4 linked regions of the Coturnix japonica genome follow. The protein of the gene in region 4 interacts with the protein of the main gene of each other region in a pairwise test. Links are inferred from orthologs where the notes say so. Each region holds a gene or a part of one and is shown on either strand. Other genes may lie near its edges.

What was found.
Region 1: the proteins of PPP1CB (region 4) and PPP1R3C interact in binary tests that used the Homo sapiens proteins (3 or more experiments, as listed by UniProt). The two-hybrid records come from large-scale screens. The link is inferred for Coturnix japonica from reciprocal best matches to the Homo sapiens genes PPP1CB and PPP1R3C.
Region 2: the proteins of PPP1CB (region 4) and PPP1R3B interact in a two-hybrid assay, tested with the Homo sapiens proteins (2 studies listed by BioGRID and IntAct). The link is inferred for Coturnix japonica from reciprocal best matches to the Homo sapiens genes PPP1CB and PPP1R3B.
Region 3: the proteins of PPP1CB (region 4) and CSRNP2 interact in binary tests that used the Homo sapiens proteins (3 or more experiments, as listed by UniProt). The two-hybrid records come from large-scale screens. The link is inferred for Coturnix japonica from reciprocal best matches to the Homo sapiens genes PPP1CB and CSRNP2.

The regions. Positions count from the first base shown.
Region 1 is NC_029521.1:17,281,249-17,285,569, forward strand, and holds the start of PPP1R3C (protein phosphatase 1 regulatory subunit 3C), read right to left. Parts: upstream 2,810-4,321; 5' UTR 2,646-2,809; coding exon 2,645-2,645; intron 2,227-2,644; coding exon 2,085-2,226; intron 2,069-2,084; exon of another isoform or gene 1,829-2,068; intron 1,208-1,828; coding exon 262-1,207; 3' UTR 1-261.
Region 2 is NC_029519.1:44,186,760-44,191,083, forward strand, and holds the start of PPP1R3B (protein phosphatase 1 regulatory subunit 3B), read right to left. Parts: upstream 2,843-4,324; 5' UTR 2,770-2,842; coding exon 2,756-2,769; intron 1,267-2,755; coding exon 375-1,266; 3' UTR 1-374. UniProt on the Homo sapiens protein: Acts as a glycogen-targeting subunit for phosphatase PP1. Facilitates interaction of the PP1 with enzymes of the glycogen metabolism and regulates its activity.
Region 3 is NC_029544.1:1,405,247-1,409,464, reverse strand, and holds the start of CSRNP2 (cysteine/serine-rich nuclear protein 2), read right to left. Parts: upstream 2,850-4,218; 5' UTR 2,716-2,849; intron 670-2,715; 5' UTR 655-669; coding exon 504-654; intron 88-503; coding exon 1-87. UniProt on the Homo sapiens protein: Binds to the consensus sequence 5'-AGAGTG-3' and has transcriptional activator activity. May play a role in apoptosis.
Region 4 is NC_029518.1:24,308,986-24,312,545, forward strand, and holds part of PPP1CB (serine/threonine-protein phosphatase PP1-beta catalytic subunit), read right to left. Parts: coding exon 3,330-3,560; intron 2,982-3,329; coding exon 2,877-2,981; intron 1-2,876. UniProt on the Homo sapiens protein: Protein phosphatase that associates with over 200 regulatory proteins to form highly specific holoenzymes which dephosphorylate hundreds of biological targets.

The sequences.
Region 1 (4,321 bases), on a different chromosome or scaffold from region 4:
AGCACACAGCATATACTTAAGATACAGGCATGCTATTTCTAGTAGGTGGTATACACACGGGTTTTATCTCGTTTGTCTTTCTTTCCAAGGATAAGTTTTGGCTAAGAACTTCAAGAACATAATATGGCTTAACGAGACTGCTGAGTTTGGAGTTGTAAAGGCAGCCACACCTGCCGGGTGGTTTTGTTATATAGTTCTGTGAACCAGAAAGCTAACACTGGTTTGCTGCCAAGTGGAATAATATTTCCAAGCTAGTGTCTATCACCAATATGGTGATGAATTTTCAATCCCACCTGAGCTCTGCCACTGGGGGAAGAGGCCACTGGACAGCCTTGGGCTGCCGAGCTGATCGGGCTCTCTCTCTTGCCCTTTCCTTGGAGCTGGAACATCAAAACAGTCCTTTGTGGCAGATGGTATCCGAACACCATCAGATTTCCACTCTGCATGGAGAATCTTGTAGTTCTGCCCCTCATTATTGTCCCAGAAGGTACGCTCGCCACTTTGGTAGGAAATGCAGAACTCAATTTTCTCTTGAGAAGGAATGGCAGGAGGCAAGTCAATAGTAAATGAGAAGGTATCATTTTCAGAATCACCATAAACATTGTTCATGTACACACACTCAATGTCCGTGTAAGTCTTCCACGTATCAAAGGTGATTCGAACCTGAACCTTCTTCTCAAAGCTCACATTTTTTACTTTCACAGTGCCTGACAACACCTTCTCTTGTAGGCTGCAGTTCTCCAGGCAGACCAAGTTCCTCTGCAGGCGGTTCCTGAAGTCCAGGTAGTCAGCTGAGGGACGAGGGAAATCCAGAATCAAGTTTTTCTCCTCGTGAAGCTTCAGGTTAGACGTTATGTTTTCGAGACTTATAAGATCAAACTGGAGATCCCAGCCAGGGTGCTCCTGGAACTCTGAGAAGGTGTGTATTGCCGTCAGGGAGAGCCCCTTTGAGTCTGCAAACACAACTCGCTTCTTGGCTCGGGCTGCTGAGTGGTTCCAGTCACTCTTCTGTGCTTCAGAATCACGTTTCACATGGAGACAGGGTCTGAGAGGTTTGAATTTGTTCACAAAGTTATTTCTCTGGCAGCCCTCAAGGGGGCTGAGGAAGCTCTTCAGTGGAGGTGAATGAGCTAAGCAGATTCTCATGGCCACATCCACAGGCATGATGGAATTTGGCAAGGGTCTCGGATCTAAGATCTGAATCATTCTGAAAGGAGCAGAAAGACAGCATATTATTATTTGATACATTGGGGAAAAGCTTGTTAAGAATGCATATGTGCTTCATCTGCTGTCTTAATTATTCACAACCTGGTCTTTGCACAGCTTTAAATAATGCAGCCTAAATTAATATTGACAGTTCAAGAGAGGAAAAAGAATGAACATACTGTCATTTCTTTACAATTCTGCAGTCTTTCAATACGAATGTAATTTGCTTTTTCCAAACCTCTGAAACATGGATTTTAGAAACAGCTAATAAAGCACATCCTAATGTACCAGTACAAACAGATCCACCTGCAGTGAAAGTGCTCATCCACTTCAATTTCTTTCAGTGACTGTGAGCCTAGTCTTAAAAATCTAACAGGGTGGATCAGCTGCTGCACCCGAGCAGACAGCACTAGAGTAATCAAGTTACCTGTCCCAGCTTGGCTTTGGTTAAATCAGTTTTGAGCTATTAACCCAGGTCTAGTTAAAAAAGCTGGTTTGCATTGTGAGCATTGCTGAGTAAGTGGGGGAAAGAATAAAGGAGCTGAAGGAGAATTGTCTTCATCTTGTGTTTTGAGTAACGTATTAAAAACATTCCATTCCTTATATTCCCCAAAGTCCATACCTAATGCAAGCATTTCATAAGAATGCTACAGCTTTCTTTGTTTAGATTTGTTCCTAAACCTGACTCTCAGACGATGAAAACCACGATTATTTTACAAAATGCTCTCAGAAATATGACTGGGGTTTTGGATGGTCCTACAAGGAGCCCACAGTTGGACTCTGTGGTCCTTGCAGTTCACTTCCAACTTGATGTACTCTGTAATTCTATGACTCTGAAACCACGGTCGGTTAGCAGTATTTGCAGAAGGGGCTCCTACTGCAGTGCATCTCTTCTGGTAAAGATCCAATCCTTGCTGGAAATATGGAGTTCTGTTGAGTCATGGGAAGAAAGAGCACTTGCTTTGTCACTTAAATAAATGGCATTCTTCTTCCCAGTGTTCTCACTGGTATTCCAGAGCACTGCCAAAAAAAGCAGAATCTGCACTGACCTCTTCGTTCTTCTTGCTTTTTTTCCCCCCCTTTCTTAAGCTATGGCAGCATTTACCATAATAGGTAGTGGAGTACTGGCATCAAATTTATCAAGTTTTGTTTGGCTTTTAGCAGCATCAGTATTGTATTCTCTCTAGTTTCCATGACGAGCTCCATAGGCTGCTGCTCATAACGTTATACAACATTAAAAACAAAACAAAAATAAAGGGCTACGCTGCTAGGAGAGGCAAAAATCTGCCAGCAAAAGATGATAGAGTTGAGCAGCATTCACAAGGCACTATGCAAGCGCTAAACGCTTCTACAAGCCTGATAAAAATCAAAGTAGCGCAGTGCAAAAGTACATTCCCCCAAAGGATGAAGATTTTATTCCCCCCTCCCCTTTACTTACTTCCTTCTGCGGGGCTGGAAGCGCACGCTAGAACCGAACCGACCCGAGGGAGAGCAGCCGCAGCGCGGGCAGCGGAGCCAGCAGCGCTCACCTGCGGCCGATGGCGAGCAGTGCGGGGCGGTTACTCCGCAGCCCCCTCGCTCCGCTCCCTTTATGCTCCGGGCTCGGTCCTGCCCCGGGGCGCGGCGCGGCGGGGCTGTGCGTGCCGGGGGGCCGCGTGGGGGGGGGGGAGGCCGCTGTTTCTCCACGTGGTCACGGCTGTGGGGCGGGCGGTGCCGAGTGCCGCCCCCTGGGGCTTCGGTGGTTGTTATTGTTCGGTCGGTGCGATGCTCGGCGCGTGGTGCTGCCGTGCCGTTGCTTCCTGCTGCATCCAGGGCTCTCCTCTCCCCATGCCCACCCCTCCCCCCCCCGCACATCCCGCAGAGTCGTTTCCAAAACTGCTGTGCTTTAAATAACTTGGATATTCTTGCCCCTGAGAGCCCGAGCTTTGCTGTGTTGGCTGTACGCGGTCGACAGTGCCGGCTGCTTGTCTCACAGCGGTCTTTGCAATGGGGAGCTCTCCTTTGTCCCGATCAGCCTGTCTGCACCTCTTGCATCCCTTATGGGGGTGACGTGGCCTCGGTACGGCTCGGGGGTGGCTGGAGCTTCAGATGGGGCTCAGAGGTAGTGGGCCTTTGCCAGAGCTAGAAAAGCAAATGGGTTTGCTCTACAAGACTTCCAAGAGAACACTTTAACGTGTCAATGTGGGGCTTCTTCCTGCTGCTGCTTTAGCAGGACACTACCTAACAGAACAAGAGTAACACCAGCTTGAAACTGCAGACTCAGATTTGACTAAAAAGAGCTGGATACTTGTGTTGCCAGGGCCTGAAGTCTGTCATCCTGGGCTATACTTGGCCTTGACTGAACTGACAAAACTGGAGGTTTCTTTTGCATGGTACTATTGGCTGTTCAGCTCCACACACAGCAGTGTGAGGGTACTGGAGGTCCTGCTGTACTTCCCACGTTGTAGCTGTTAGCTATTTCTAGAGCAAAGGGGCAGAAAGCAGTAGCACGCGGTCTCTGCAGTGTGACGACAGTCACACCATCACTGCCTGCCCCCACAACTGTGTGAGCCTGGTGTGGCTGCATGGTTTCACTGTCACCTTCCTGCCCACTCTCTCCCAAGTGCAGCCCTGCACTCATGATACTGAGTATGTGAGCTATTCTGAGCTTTTATCAGTAGATGAGTTCTGTGCACAATGCATGACAGGAAGCACTATGCTCTACATGGAACAAAAGGGACTTATGGTGAAGAAGAATAGAAGATAATAGGATTTCTCTGGCTCATCCAAATTGTTTTTCTTTACATGGTTTGTGAATGAAAGGCTCTATTGCTGTGCATGAGAGGTTGTTAGGAGACAGCACTTAAGCACAGGCCAAGGCATGGCAGGCGAAAAGATGCCTTCCTCTTGGATTAAGGCTGTGTAGTAGCAGAGAAACAAACAGCCCTGAAAGTGCTGGAGGGAGAAGTCTCCTCTAGTGACTGAAGTGTGGCACACAGACCCATACACTGCCTCTGTGTGTATAATGAAGGCATTCATAGGGCAGAAAGGCTTCAATTTCTTAGCAAGACTCTTGGTGACTGAAGTTCCTGCCCTTTCTGCCAGTAGGTGACATTAAACATCACCTAGATGGAGC
Region 2 (4,324 bases), on a different chromosome or scaffold from region 4:
ACGAACCAGCCACCACTACATAGCTTCAGCAGACAACCCAAGCACTGTAGTGTATCCCTGGAGACTAGCAGCTTTACAGAAGAGGAAGGAGTAGCAGCACTGAACAGACAGGCAAGCGACATCTCCTTTTCTTTTGATCATCTGGAGAGTCTGCTATCTGACTTGAGACAGGGAAGGCAGCCCTCTGCATTAGAGATGCACCCCTGATTATAAGCCAACTGCCAGCAGAGTACTGCACTTTTCTTTTTGCTGGGAGGCTTATGCAGTGCTACAGGGAGCCTCACTTCTTCCACCTTTCCACACACCTCGTGTTTAGGAAGACTCCCACGTCTGCAGGCACCACCAACAGTCAGTCAGAACATTAGGTCCTTATGTCAGTAATAGGGCCCTAGCTTTTCGTATCCTGAATAGCTTGGCCACTCGGCAAACAGACCATAGGCGCACCGAGGACTCCCAAACTGGTCAAAGGCACTGCTGAAGTCTGGGCTGCACGGGGGGCGGAGGGCTTCCTGGGCAGACTTCAGTTCTGAGCGTATGATTCTGTAATTTGTGCCCCTGTTGCTGTCCCAGTACACCTTGCCATTGCACTCAAAGGAGACGGCAAACTCAACTCTTTCATGGGATTGAATTCCATCGGGCAAGCTGATGTCGAAAGAAAAAGTGTCCCGATCTGATCCTCCGTACGTATCCTTGACATATTGGCACGGGAAATCTACAAAGTTTTTCCAGGTGTCAAATGTCATCCTGATCCTCACGGACTTTTCAAAAGCCAGATTCCTCACTTTCACTGTGCCCACAACAGAGCGCTCCTTTAACATACAGTTTTCAAGGCACACGCAGTCTGTCTGAAGACGGTTTCTGAAGTCCAGGTAGTCTGCAGAGGGCTGGACAAAGTCCAGGACAAAGCTGTCCCTCTCTACTGTTGTCAGACTCACAATGTTGTCGATCAGCTCGGTGATGTTGAAAGGAATATCTAGAGGATCATCGAACTCTGAGAACACCTTCACCATTGTCAGAGCAAAGCCTCTGCTATCCGCAAACGACACCTTCTTCTTCACCTTGTTGTGTGTGAAGGAGTTTTCTGCCTCTTCTGGTCCAGTCAGTACTGCCTTGCTGTTCAGCTGGATGCACGGCCGCAATGGCTTGTTTGGCTTTGGGGCAATTTTGCAGGCACACCTCTCTCTTCGCAAGGGTGAGGAGCACAGGTACAGCTGCATTGCTACATCCACAGCCATTGCTTGTTTGTGAGGAAAATAGTCTATTACACTGAAAGATCAAAAGAAGGAGCAGTTTATGTCAGAGAAGCATTTCAGTGACTTGTCAGATAGTTGCTACACTATTCCCCATCCATCCTAAAGAAGCTCAGTTTCCATCACCCCCAAAGTCCCTCAAGCTCTGTCAGAGGCCAGTACTTGCTTGACTTACAGATATGTTGGGAAGCGTGCTACCACAGTGCTGTGGCTCAGCCATAGCCTGTTACATCCCCTCAAGGGCAAGACAACTTCCCATTGCTTGCTACAAAGTCACCATGCTAAGGCACATGCAGTCATCACCCTTTTAGGCTTGCAATAGCAGGCTCTGGAACACCTCTGACTTAAACCAAAGATCTGTGGCTACTTGGTCCTACTGATTCTCACTTTACACTTATAGAAGAGCAACTTTCTTCCCACTTCGCACTTTAAAACAGGTATCAGGCAGCCAGAAGGTTCCTCCTCCACGCAGAATGCACACCTTAAGCCTACAAAACACTTAAAGAAACATCAGTGTAGCTAGAGCAGGCAAGCTGTGTGATGTACTCAAGGCTGACAGAGGCTTTGGAAATAAGCCCTCCCCTCAGAGGCACAGATTGCGTGTCTCTCCACCACAGCATCTCCTCCTCTAGCATCCAGCTCCCAGTGACACAGCACAGTCCCTCTGTGCACCCATATCTTGAAGGCAGGCTACTTCCTTAATTAAATTCCCTGTTTGGCTGCAGACCATGTTCCAAAGCCGGTCTCACTGCTAGAGCAGCAGCAGCTGACCGCACAAGGGCTCGTGCTGCCAAAGCCACACACAGCCAGCTATAGGACTTGATAGCTGTCCCTGTGCCAAGACAAAGCAACAGAGCTGCTCTCTCCAAGTCTGTGCTTTACTTTCCCACCCTGCAGCACCAACAGGGCAGCCCTCCATAGCATCCCTTCAGCAGCAGCACTTGCTTACGTTAAAAGGCATAGACAAAGGTTTGCTTCCTAACACCAGCTACCTCCTGCATTTCTTCTTTAAGCCTTCTTTGAAGCTCAAGGGCACCTGCACAAGGACAGACAGCGGATCCACCTGTCTGCCAGCACCAAGCCGTTCAGCTCTTCCTGGTTTCACTGGCTTTCTCACATATGTCATACAGCTCATTTCCTCCTTTCAAACAAACCAAGGACAACTTCACCTGCACCCCCTCCCAGCAGCAGCCATACACCTGATCTCCCATTCAGCGCTCAGGTACTTCTGTAAGCCTCAGTAACAACCAGCATTTAACGTTAAGAGGCCAGGAGCATCCTGCCTGCTTTGCACGACTTGAAGCACATCCAACTTGAAAACCAGAGGAAAGGGAGCGAGCAGGACCACCCCTTTCAGAAGGGGAAGGCTGCATTCCACTCACCACCCCCCCTCCAACTGAGCCCAACCCCGTATCAAGCAACTCCCACAGCACAGACCTGGTTACCCCCACGACCCCTACAGGATACCCCCCGTGACACAGCCCCGTCCCCCATACAGCCCGTACCTGACGCAGCGCATGAGCCCGCTCACACAGCCCCAACCCCGAACCACCACCTCTAACAGGGTGGCCCCACAGCGGACCCTTAAAGGCACCGCCCGCCCCTCCCTCCCTGCCGCCTGACCAATGGGTGCCGTCCTCCTCAATGGAACCCTCCTCCTCTGCGGCGATGGGGCTGGATGTGTCGTACCCAGCCGGGTGGGGGGCTGCGCTCGCTGGGGTGGGTTGGGGGGGGGGGGGGGGTGTTTGGGGCGAGCATTGGGGGTTTCTAAAAGCCAGCTGGATGCCTGGGGTCTCCTGAGGGAATTTCCTGTGCCTGAGCAGGCGTTGTGAGCCTCTCTGGTATGAAACTGGTGCAACCCCGGGGGGTTTTGCCAGCAACGAGCAGCCAAAGGTGACAGGAATGCCCCGAGGCCTTCTCAGGGGGCTGCTGTCCTCAATAAGGTGTTCGGTTTGCACTGAGGGGTGGGGTGGGGTGGGGTGAGGAACGAGGGTTACTCACACTTTCCGTCCCATAGCTGAAGCTCTGGGGCAGAAATGCCAGGAGACGTTCCCAAATCGCATTTCCTGACAAGATTTAGGGCACGGAGTGGAAAAACTGAGCTTCTCACAGACACGAGAAAGTCGTCTCTTACAATGACAGTGTTATGAACAACCACCTGCGGGAGCCAAGCGGCCGGCAGAAGCCCATCCCAAGGCAACTCAATGCTCCAGCGGCGACACCTCCTCCTCGCCTCCTGGGAGCTGGGAATGGTGACAAGGCTGGGAGTAACAGCCTCTTGTTGGCCTCCGAGCACACCAATGTGAGCAGTGCTGCTCTCCCGCCTCCCTCCCAGAGCATAAAAGCGGTATTGAAGAGTCAACATTTGTTTTTAATTAGCCGGTGGAAGCAGGCATGGCTATTGTTAAACCCAGAGACTTCCTGCTGTAAAGCTGCTGCTTAATCAACTCGCTGCTCCGCGATGCAAAGCGATGCAAAAGGGTTGTGTTGGGGGGAAAGACCATTGTTTTAGCCTCATAGGTTCCTGCTTTTAGATAAAGGCAATGATAAGGAAGCTGGGGAGAGAAATCTACTGCAGGTCCCTTGGAGATGTGGATCAGTATTTTACATGCCAGCGGCAGTGTGGAATTTCAGCAGGGCTGATTGGCGACAAGGTTTGTGCAGGGATGCGGGGTAGCAAGGATTTGCCCAAGAGCAATGGACAGAGGCCCCAAAAGGCCCTTGGGTCTGCACAGCCATCTCCAGGCAGCGCTACCGCAGCCTGGCTCAGCACGGTGGCTCAGGGTGCATTTCTGTCGCGTGATAGAAGCTCTGTTTGCCTTGTGCAGGGCGAATTGCTTCACAACTGCTGCCTACTGTTTGCCTCTGAAGCAAAGGTAGGTGGAAGCCAGGGCAGGGCATTGTGGCGGGCTGTGGACACAGGCTCTTATCTTTTGGGAGCAGAGATAATGGCTATATTTAGCTTTGCACTGAGCCCTTGCACAGTGGTCTTACTGATTTCCCCATAGCTTTCCACCCCTCCTGGCTTGTTGGGGGATGAGGAAGAGCGATCTTCCCCTTCTCTGCTTGCTGCA
Region 3 (4,218 bases), on a different chromosome or scaffold from region 4:
GACGCCGGGCGAAGTAATACACCGTCACCTGGTCGAAGCGCACGTTCTTCCTGCGCAGCTGCTTCTGCCTCTTCAGGATGGAGGTGGCTGCGGGGAGGGAGGAGGGATGGGATCGGGAGCCCCACTGCCTCCCCTCACTGTCACCCCTTCCTGCCCTGTCCCCTCACTCTCTCACTGTCTCCATGTCCCACCCCCATCCCCTCACTTGGTCACTCTTTGCTGTCCCCATGTCCCGGCCCCTTCACTTTCACACTCTTTCCTGTCCCTAAACCCTGTCCTCCCCCCATCACCATTTGCTGTACCCACATCTTACCCCCATCCCATGTCCCCATCCTCATCCTTTTGGCTCTACCACTGTTTGCTGTCCCCATCCTCACTCCTGTCCCCTCACTGTCCCTGTGCCCACCCCCCTTCCCATCCCTCCCCCCCCCGTGTCCTCCGACCCCGTATCCTCACGTTCCCCATCTCCGTGTCCCCCCCCATCCCCATGTCCCCCCGCTCACGGATGAAGCCGCTGGAGCTGGAAGGGTTGACGCTGTCGCAGCTGTCGGCGCTGTCGCTGTTGGAGATCTCATCGTCGGAGTTGGACGCCGGGGAGCCCACGTCTGCATCCTCAAACTTCCTCTTGAGGCGGCCGCTGCCGATGGCATCCATGGGGTCAGCGGGGACCTGCAGGATGGGGATGGTGGTGGGGGGTGTCTGGGGGGTCCCCATAACTGGACCAACACCATTGGCAGAGCTGGGCCCATGGTGTAGCAATGTGCAAAGCCGCCTTCCCCACTGAGCTCTGCATCTCCTGCACCCAAACCCCCAAGTGTGGGGTGTCCTCAGCACACAGCAGAGCTCAGCCGGCAACAGGGCTGTGCCTGGGGGGGCTGGGTGGGGGGATTTGGGGACAGGGACATGGGCAGAGCTGAAGCTGCTCAGCCCCGCTCTGCTCTGCTCCATCACTGCAGCAGCGACGGTTCTCATGGCAACAGAACAAACGGCTCCGGAGGAAGCTGTCAGCATCAGCATCCGTCTGTCTGTCCATCACCCGACTCTGTACACCCCGCCATCATCCAGCTGCCATCCATTCATCCTCCTGTCCGTCCATCCCTCCACCATCCCTTCTGTCCACCCTTCTGTCCACCCATTAATCTGCCCATCAATCCATCCATCCATCCATCCCTCCATCCCTCCACCATCCCACCCATCCCTTACCCACCCCTCTATCCATCCATCCCTCCACCATCCCACCCACCCCTCATCTCCCCGAGCTCCTCCTCACGCTGCTGCTCCCATCCAGGTGTAACACAAGGCCGGGGGGGGGGGACACAACCAGCACCTCTCCCATAACGAGAGCCCTTGGTCCTGGTGGTGTCCTGGTTGACCTGGTTAACCTGGTTAACCCACAGTTGGCCACTGGTTGACCAAGAGCTGAGCAGAAGCCAGCAGGGTGTCCTGGTGGCCATGAAGGCCAATGGAAGCCAACTGGTTAACCAAGAGTTGACCAGTGGTCGGCTATGGGGTGATCACAAACCAGCACTGTGCCCTGGAGGCCTGAAGCAGCTCCCCACTCTGCTCTGCACTGGGGTGGCCCCATTGGAGCACTGGGCTCCCCAGTTTAGGGCAGACTGGATCCCTCCTTGGGATCGGGGATCTCCTCTTTGGGATCAGGGGATCCCACAGCTGAGCCCTGTGGATGTTCCAGGCTGCAGCTCACACAGCAGCAGCACTTACACAACATGCGTTGCAATGAGCAGCAGTGCAGGGCTGCTGGCAGGCGGGGGGGACAATGCAGCCCCCAAAAGCAGGGGGCAGTAAAATGTGGGGGGGGGGGGGTCCTAGAAAGCTGGGGATAAAAAACAGGGGAACACTAAAAAGCTGGAGACTAAAGGAGGGGTCCCCAAAAGGAAGGGGGTCCTAAAAGGGGAAGGGATAAGAAAGGGCAGCCCCCAAAAAGCAGGAGTGGAAAAAGGGGCAGCTCTGAAGGTGGGGGGGGGGCTCCTATTGCTTCTATCGTTCCATCTTCAGCCCACCCCAACTGTAACCCCCCCCCATCCCTTACATGCTTCTATATTTAAGGTCTCCTACGTGACCTATAAGCCTCCATACACACCCTATAGGCTCCTTATAGTCTCTACATCCTCCCTGTTCTCAAGGCTCCAACCCCTATAGGTTTCCTACAGGCCTCCACCTTCACGGCCTTCATCTCCTACATCCCTCCATCATTAGGGCCCTCACCTCTTACAGCCCCTATAAGCCCCCATTCTCCAGGCCCATCCCCCATAGGCCCCTATAGGCCTCCATCCCCACCACCCCTCCATCCTTAAGGCCCACACTCCTCATACACCCCCTATGTCCTCTATCAGCTCCCATCTTCCAGCCCCCCCAACCCCTACAGGCTCCCTACAGCCCCTATACACCCCCCCCATCCCCTATAGCCCCCATCCTTAATGTCCTCACCTCCTATAGACCTCCTATAGGCCATAGGCTCCCATATCCCACCCCTATAGGGCCGCCTACACCCGTCCATCCTCAAGGCCGTCATCCCTTATATCCTTATATCCATCTTTAAGGCCGTCACCCTATACATCTATAGGCTCCCATTTCCAGCCCCCCCCCTTTATCCCTTATGGACCCCCCTCAGCCCCAGAGCCTCCCACCTTCAGAGCCCCCATCCCCTATAGACCCCCTATAGACCTCCTATAGACCCCACACCCCCCCACTCACGTCTCCCCTCGGTCCCGGTTCGGTCCCGGTTCGGCGGGGGGCGGCCCGTGTCTCCGTTTCTCGGCCCGGTCGCGGCCGCGCGGCCCGCCCCGCCGCCGTCTGCCGACAACAATGGGGCCGCGCCTTATATACCGCTAGTCACGTGACATCAAGCTCCGCCCCCTACCCCCCACCCGCGAGGGGTGACGGGAAAGCGAGTCCGGGAGGGGCGGGAATGGAGTGCGGAAGTGGGAGACACCCCCCCCCCCCCCCCATCCCAGCCCCATTCACAGCTACAGAGTCCGTACAAAACTTTACCGGACCCGGCTCCGTTACACAGCGGGATGGGACCCGAACCCCCGGTACCGACCCCGGTACCGCCCGAACCCCCCGGTACCGACTGGAGCGGATCCACATCCTGCACAACGAGCTGCGGTACCGCTGGGCCGAACCGAACCGAGCTGAGCCCCATTGAACGCAATGAGTCCATCTGCAGAACCGAACCGGGTCCTCTCTGCAGCCGAACCGCCATTGGGCCGAGCTGGGGATCACACGGAGGCGGGGGGGGGCGGCTGCATTGGGCCGAACCGAACCTTGAATTGGGCTGAGAACAGCTCCGAGGTGAGTGGCACATTGAGACCAGTGAGCTGAGCGTCACATTGACATCAATGTCCCATTGAGATGAGATGAGCATCCCATAGAGCAACGCATCCCATAGAGCTGAGCTCAGGGTCCCACTGAGCATCCCATTGCATTGAGCTGAGTGTCCCATAGAGCTGAGCATCCCACTGAGCTCAGTGTCCCATTGAGCTGACTGTCCCATTGAATCGAGCTGAGCATCCCATTGAGTTGAGTTGAATGTCCCATTGAGGCTGAGTCCCAAACTCACCCCATTTCCCCCCATTTCCATCTGCAGAGCTGGGGCAGGACACAATTGCAGCCATGAGCTCAGTGCTCTGGTCCATCTCCAGGTTTCCAGCCCAGGAATGGGGGATTTTTCTCCCTTTCACTTGAAACCACAAAAACATGCAGCAAACTGCCCCCCCTTTGGGTGAGTCCTGTGGGGAGTTGGGCTGGGTGATCCCTGCGGGTCCCAACAGCGCTTCCATGGTGGAGGAAAGGAGAAAAAGCCCAACAGCCCAACTTCCATCACAGCCAAAGTGCTGCAGGGAATCCCTGCCAGGCCTCTCCCACCACCCCGTGTGTGTGATTGAGACCCGCTCAGCCCCACGGGGCCGGCAGCACCGGGCTGGTTTCCTTCATGTCCTCTCACCAGCCTGAACGTCACAGGAGCTGCTGGTAAAACGGAGCCAGGAAAAACCCTCGTGCAGCTTTGAGGTCCCAGAGCTGAACTCTGCCCATTGAGCCAGCAGTAGCAGCACCCATGGGTGCTTTGCAGCTGTGAGGGCGAGGAAAGGGCTGAGAAGGAGCAGCTCTGGGTTCTGAGGCCAATGGGAGCTTCTGGATCTCCGCTCTCATGTCCCGGTGCTGGAAGTGAGGGGGACTCACAGTCCATGGGAGCAC
Region 4 (3,560 bases):
AGCACAGTTAGTGTTGTTGACTCAATGTTTACTACAGTAGTAACACCATGAAAAGGCGCTGGCAGTCCATGACTTCAGGGAATCTGGAACGTATTTTGGACAGGGTTGGAAAAGAGCAGAAAAAGGGCAAAGCTTAAGTGCTGAATGTCCACTTCATTTATTAGGAGCATACAGCACATTCTGTGAGCTTTACACTTCATTTCATAGCCAAAAATCAGGAGCCTGGGGGACTTTCTATCATTTAAGCATAAATATTTACTTGAAACATCTGAATACTTTATTACCATTGTTTTTCCACTGTTCCAAAATAAAATAGAACATACGTGGATGGTAAAGAAATACCTTCCAAAACATTATGACTTACAATGGCTTAAAGCAGTTAAGCAGTCTTCCAGTTTAAAGCCATTTCCCCTCATCCAGTCACTACACACCCTTAGAGAAGTCTGTAACCAGCTTTCCTACAGGCCCACTTCAGGTACTAGGAGGAGGCTGCTCTAAGATCCCCTCAGAGCCTTCTCTCCTTGAGACTAACTCTCAGCCTGCCCTCACAGGGAAGGTGCTCTAGCCCTCTGATCATCTCTGTGGCCCTCCACTGGAGCTGCTCCAACAGCCCACAGTCCTTCATCTGTTGAGGTCCCCAGAACTGAACACAGTACTGCAGATGGGACCTTACAAGAGCAGAGCAGAGGGGCAATATCACTTCCCTCAATCTGCTGGTCATACTTCTCTTGATGCCAGAATACAGTTGGTCTCCTGAGCTTCAAGCGCATGTTGCTGACTCATGTTGGATCTTTCATCAACTGACACTCCTAAATCTTTCTCTCCTCAGGGTTGTTCTCAAGCCATTCTCCACCCAACCTTTACTTGTGCTTGGGATTGCCTCGACCTAGGTGCAGGACCTTGCACTTGACCTTGTTGAACTTCATGCAGCTGGCATTGGCCGCCTCTCAAGCCTGCCTAGGTCCCTTCGGATGGCATCCCTTCCCTCTGGTGCGTCAAATGTACCACTCAGTTTAGTGGCATCTGCAAGCTTCTTGAGGATGCAGTCGGTCAATTTCACATGTGAAGCAAAGGTGCGTCACTGAATTCCTCCATATGGAGACCAAACAACAGATGGTAGCACAGCAAGGCAACAAGTGGTGTGTTTCAGCAGTGGCAACAGTGTCATGAAAGATGAGGCACATTCCAGACAGCCACACACAGCTGTCACACCGCAAAAATCAAGAGTACTTTGATCAACTCATCAACATGAATTCATGTATTACAGCCAGTGAAAATATGTACAGAGCTAAATATTGGCTTCAGTGCATTGGAAACTACAGTGGAAACACTGGAATATTGCAAAATACACACCAGGTGGCTCCCATGAATGCTCTCACAGGAACAGGAAGAACAAATCAGGACATACTGAACAAATAATAGGCTGAAGGTGACAGTTTCCTGGATCGTGTCATTACAAGTTGTGGTGTCACCACAATCAGCAGCAGTCAAAATGACAGTCCATGGAGTGGTGACGTGAATTCTCCATTAAAGAAATAAATAGGAGGCATTACTTTCAGAGCAACCCATAATTGTTCCTTGTAATTACAAGCTTTAGCTCCTAAGGTAGGTACCAGTTTTAAAAAAAAGATCCCCATCCTTCAACAGAGAAGACAAGTAATTTCTCTAACACATCAATACCACCTGGGAGCTGCTATAGACTCAGCTGTGTAACACTGTATTAGTTTTGGATTTACAAAGGAAAGCTAATACCTAAAAGCATGTTATGCTTAAGACTGATAAGCTTACAGTAGCTGGCACTGAAGGCAGAACCTGTCAATACACGATACAAGTGCAGGCTGGATCATTCCATACAGGCACAACCCTCATAGAGATACTTGAATAAAGACAGGGCAGCAGTCATCAGTACACATTTCAGAGAAATCTGCACAGGAATTTTAGGTATAAGTTACATCTAAATCCTAGTGGAGCTGTTCAATCAAACTGTAGATTTCTGCAGAGCTCTCAATTCCAGTGGTTTCTAATCACCTCCTTGGCAATGCAGACATGATACCTACCACACCATTTCTGGATCAAGCTGCTGCGTAAAGAAGTTAATTAAAAAGATAGATGGAAGACTGTGGGATAGCTCTTGCTACTACAGAAGTAATTCGAAAGCGTTGTCAATTGTTTAAATTGTTGCAATAGTACTCTACAAGGTCCCAGAATCCTCCAAGTATCACCTCCTATAAAAACACTGAGGTGTTTCTTTTGACAAAGAAGAGTGACTAAGTCCCAGTACAGGAAGAAGTCACAGCCTTCTTGCAAATCAAATCCTTTTCTTCCACTACAAAAATTGTGCAGCACAGGGACCAGTACCCAGAATGTATGTTTTCCAACAGTCAGGATCCTTTGGAGTCAGATGGAGCCATGACTGATCCAATGTCAAATGCCTCAACTCAAGCATCAGGCTTGATTGTGACTATGTGCCAGGGGTCTCTTCCACCAACATCTTACAAAACCAGATAAAGAAGCCAAGACCACAGAGCTGGGGTTACTTGTGAAGCTTTTTCTTTCATTTCACAGCTAGAGATTCCAGTATCTGCTATGCATCAGTACATAGCTTTGCCAACAAGACATGAAGCAAAAAATTAGGCATGAATTCTCATGTATTGACAGGAATAATTAGATGCACTTGCCCCTCTGACACAAGTGGTCATTTATGACTGGGAAGCAAAATATTTCTTAGCAGCCAGATGTACTGAAAAAAGCAAGACAACAACAACCTTTGCAGACAATATACATTGTGAGCTGAACATGCACATCCTCGCAATTCAATACAACAATAATCCAAAGAACAGCTTAGACACATCCTTTAAAAGTAGTCATCCATTTACCTCCATGACAGCAGAAGATCTTCTCATCCACAATGGCTGCAATTGGCAAACAGTTAAAGCAGTCTGTGAAGGTCTTCCAGAGCTTAATGTTAAACCTCCGCTTACCTACAAGAGCAGTGTGAGAGATTAGGAAAAGATGACTATTTTCTTAAAGCCAACCTACAACATGTATTACAACTTGATTGGGGATGTAAACTGACTGTCTTCACACAGCTTTATTTCTGAAACCTGAGTACACTCAGAGACTCCTACAATACCATTTCAGAAACAACAGAATAGAAAATAATTCTAAGTTTAACCTTCTTTTGATAGGCTCTTTGAGAAGGTTTCAAAGCAGGTTCACAGAACACTGAAATTCTTATAGCACATGAATCGTGAGTCATTTACCAGAAGTACTTCCAAAACACAGTATTAATACACATCAGCCTTTCAGAAGAAATAGGTTTAACTTACATTCATCATAGAATCCATAGATCCGGTTGATGCTAGCACACTCATGATTTCCTCTTAAGAGAAAGAAGTTTTCTGGGTACTTTATTTTATATGCCAGAAGTAGGCAAATGGTTTCCAGAGACTGTTTGCCTCTGTCTACATAATCTCCAAGGAAAAGATAATTTGCTTCTGGTGGGAATCCTCCGTATTCAAATAGTCGAAGCAAATCTGTATACTGACCATGAATATCAC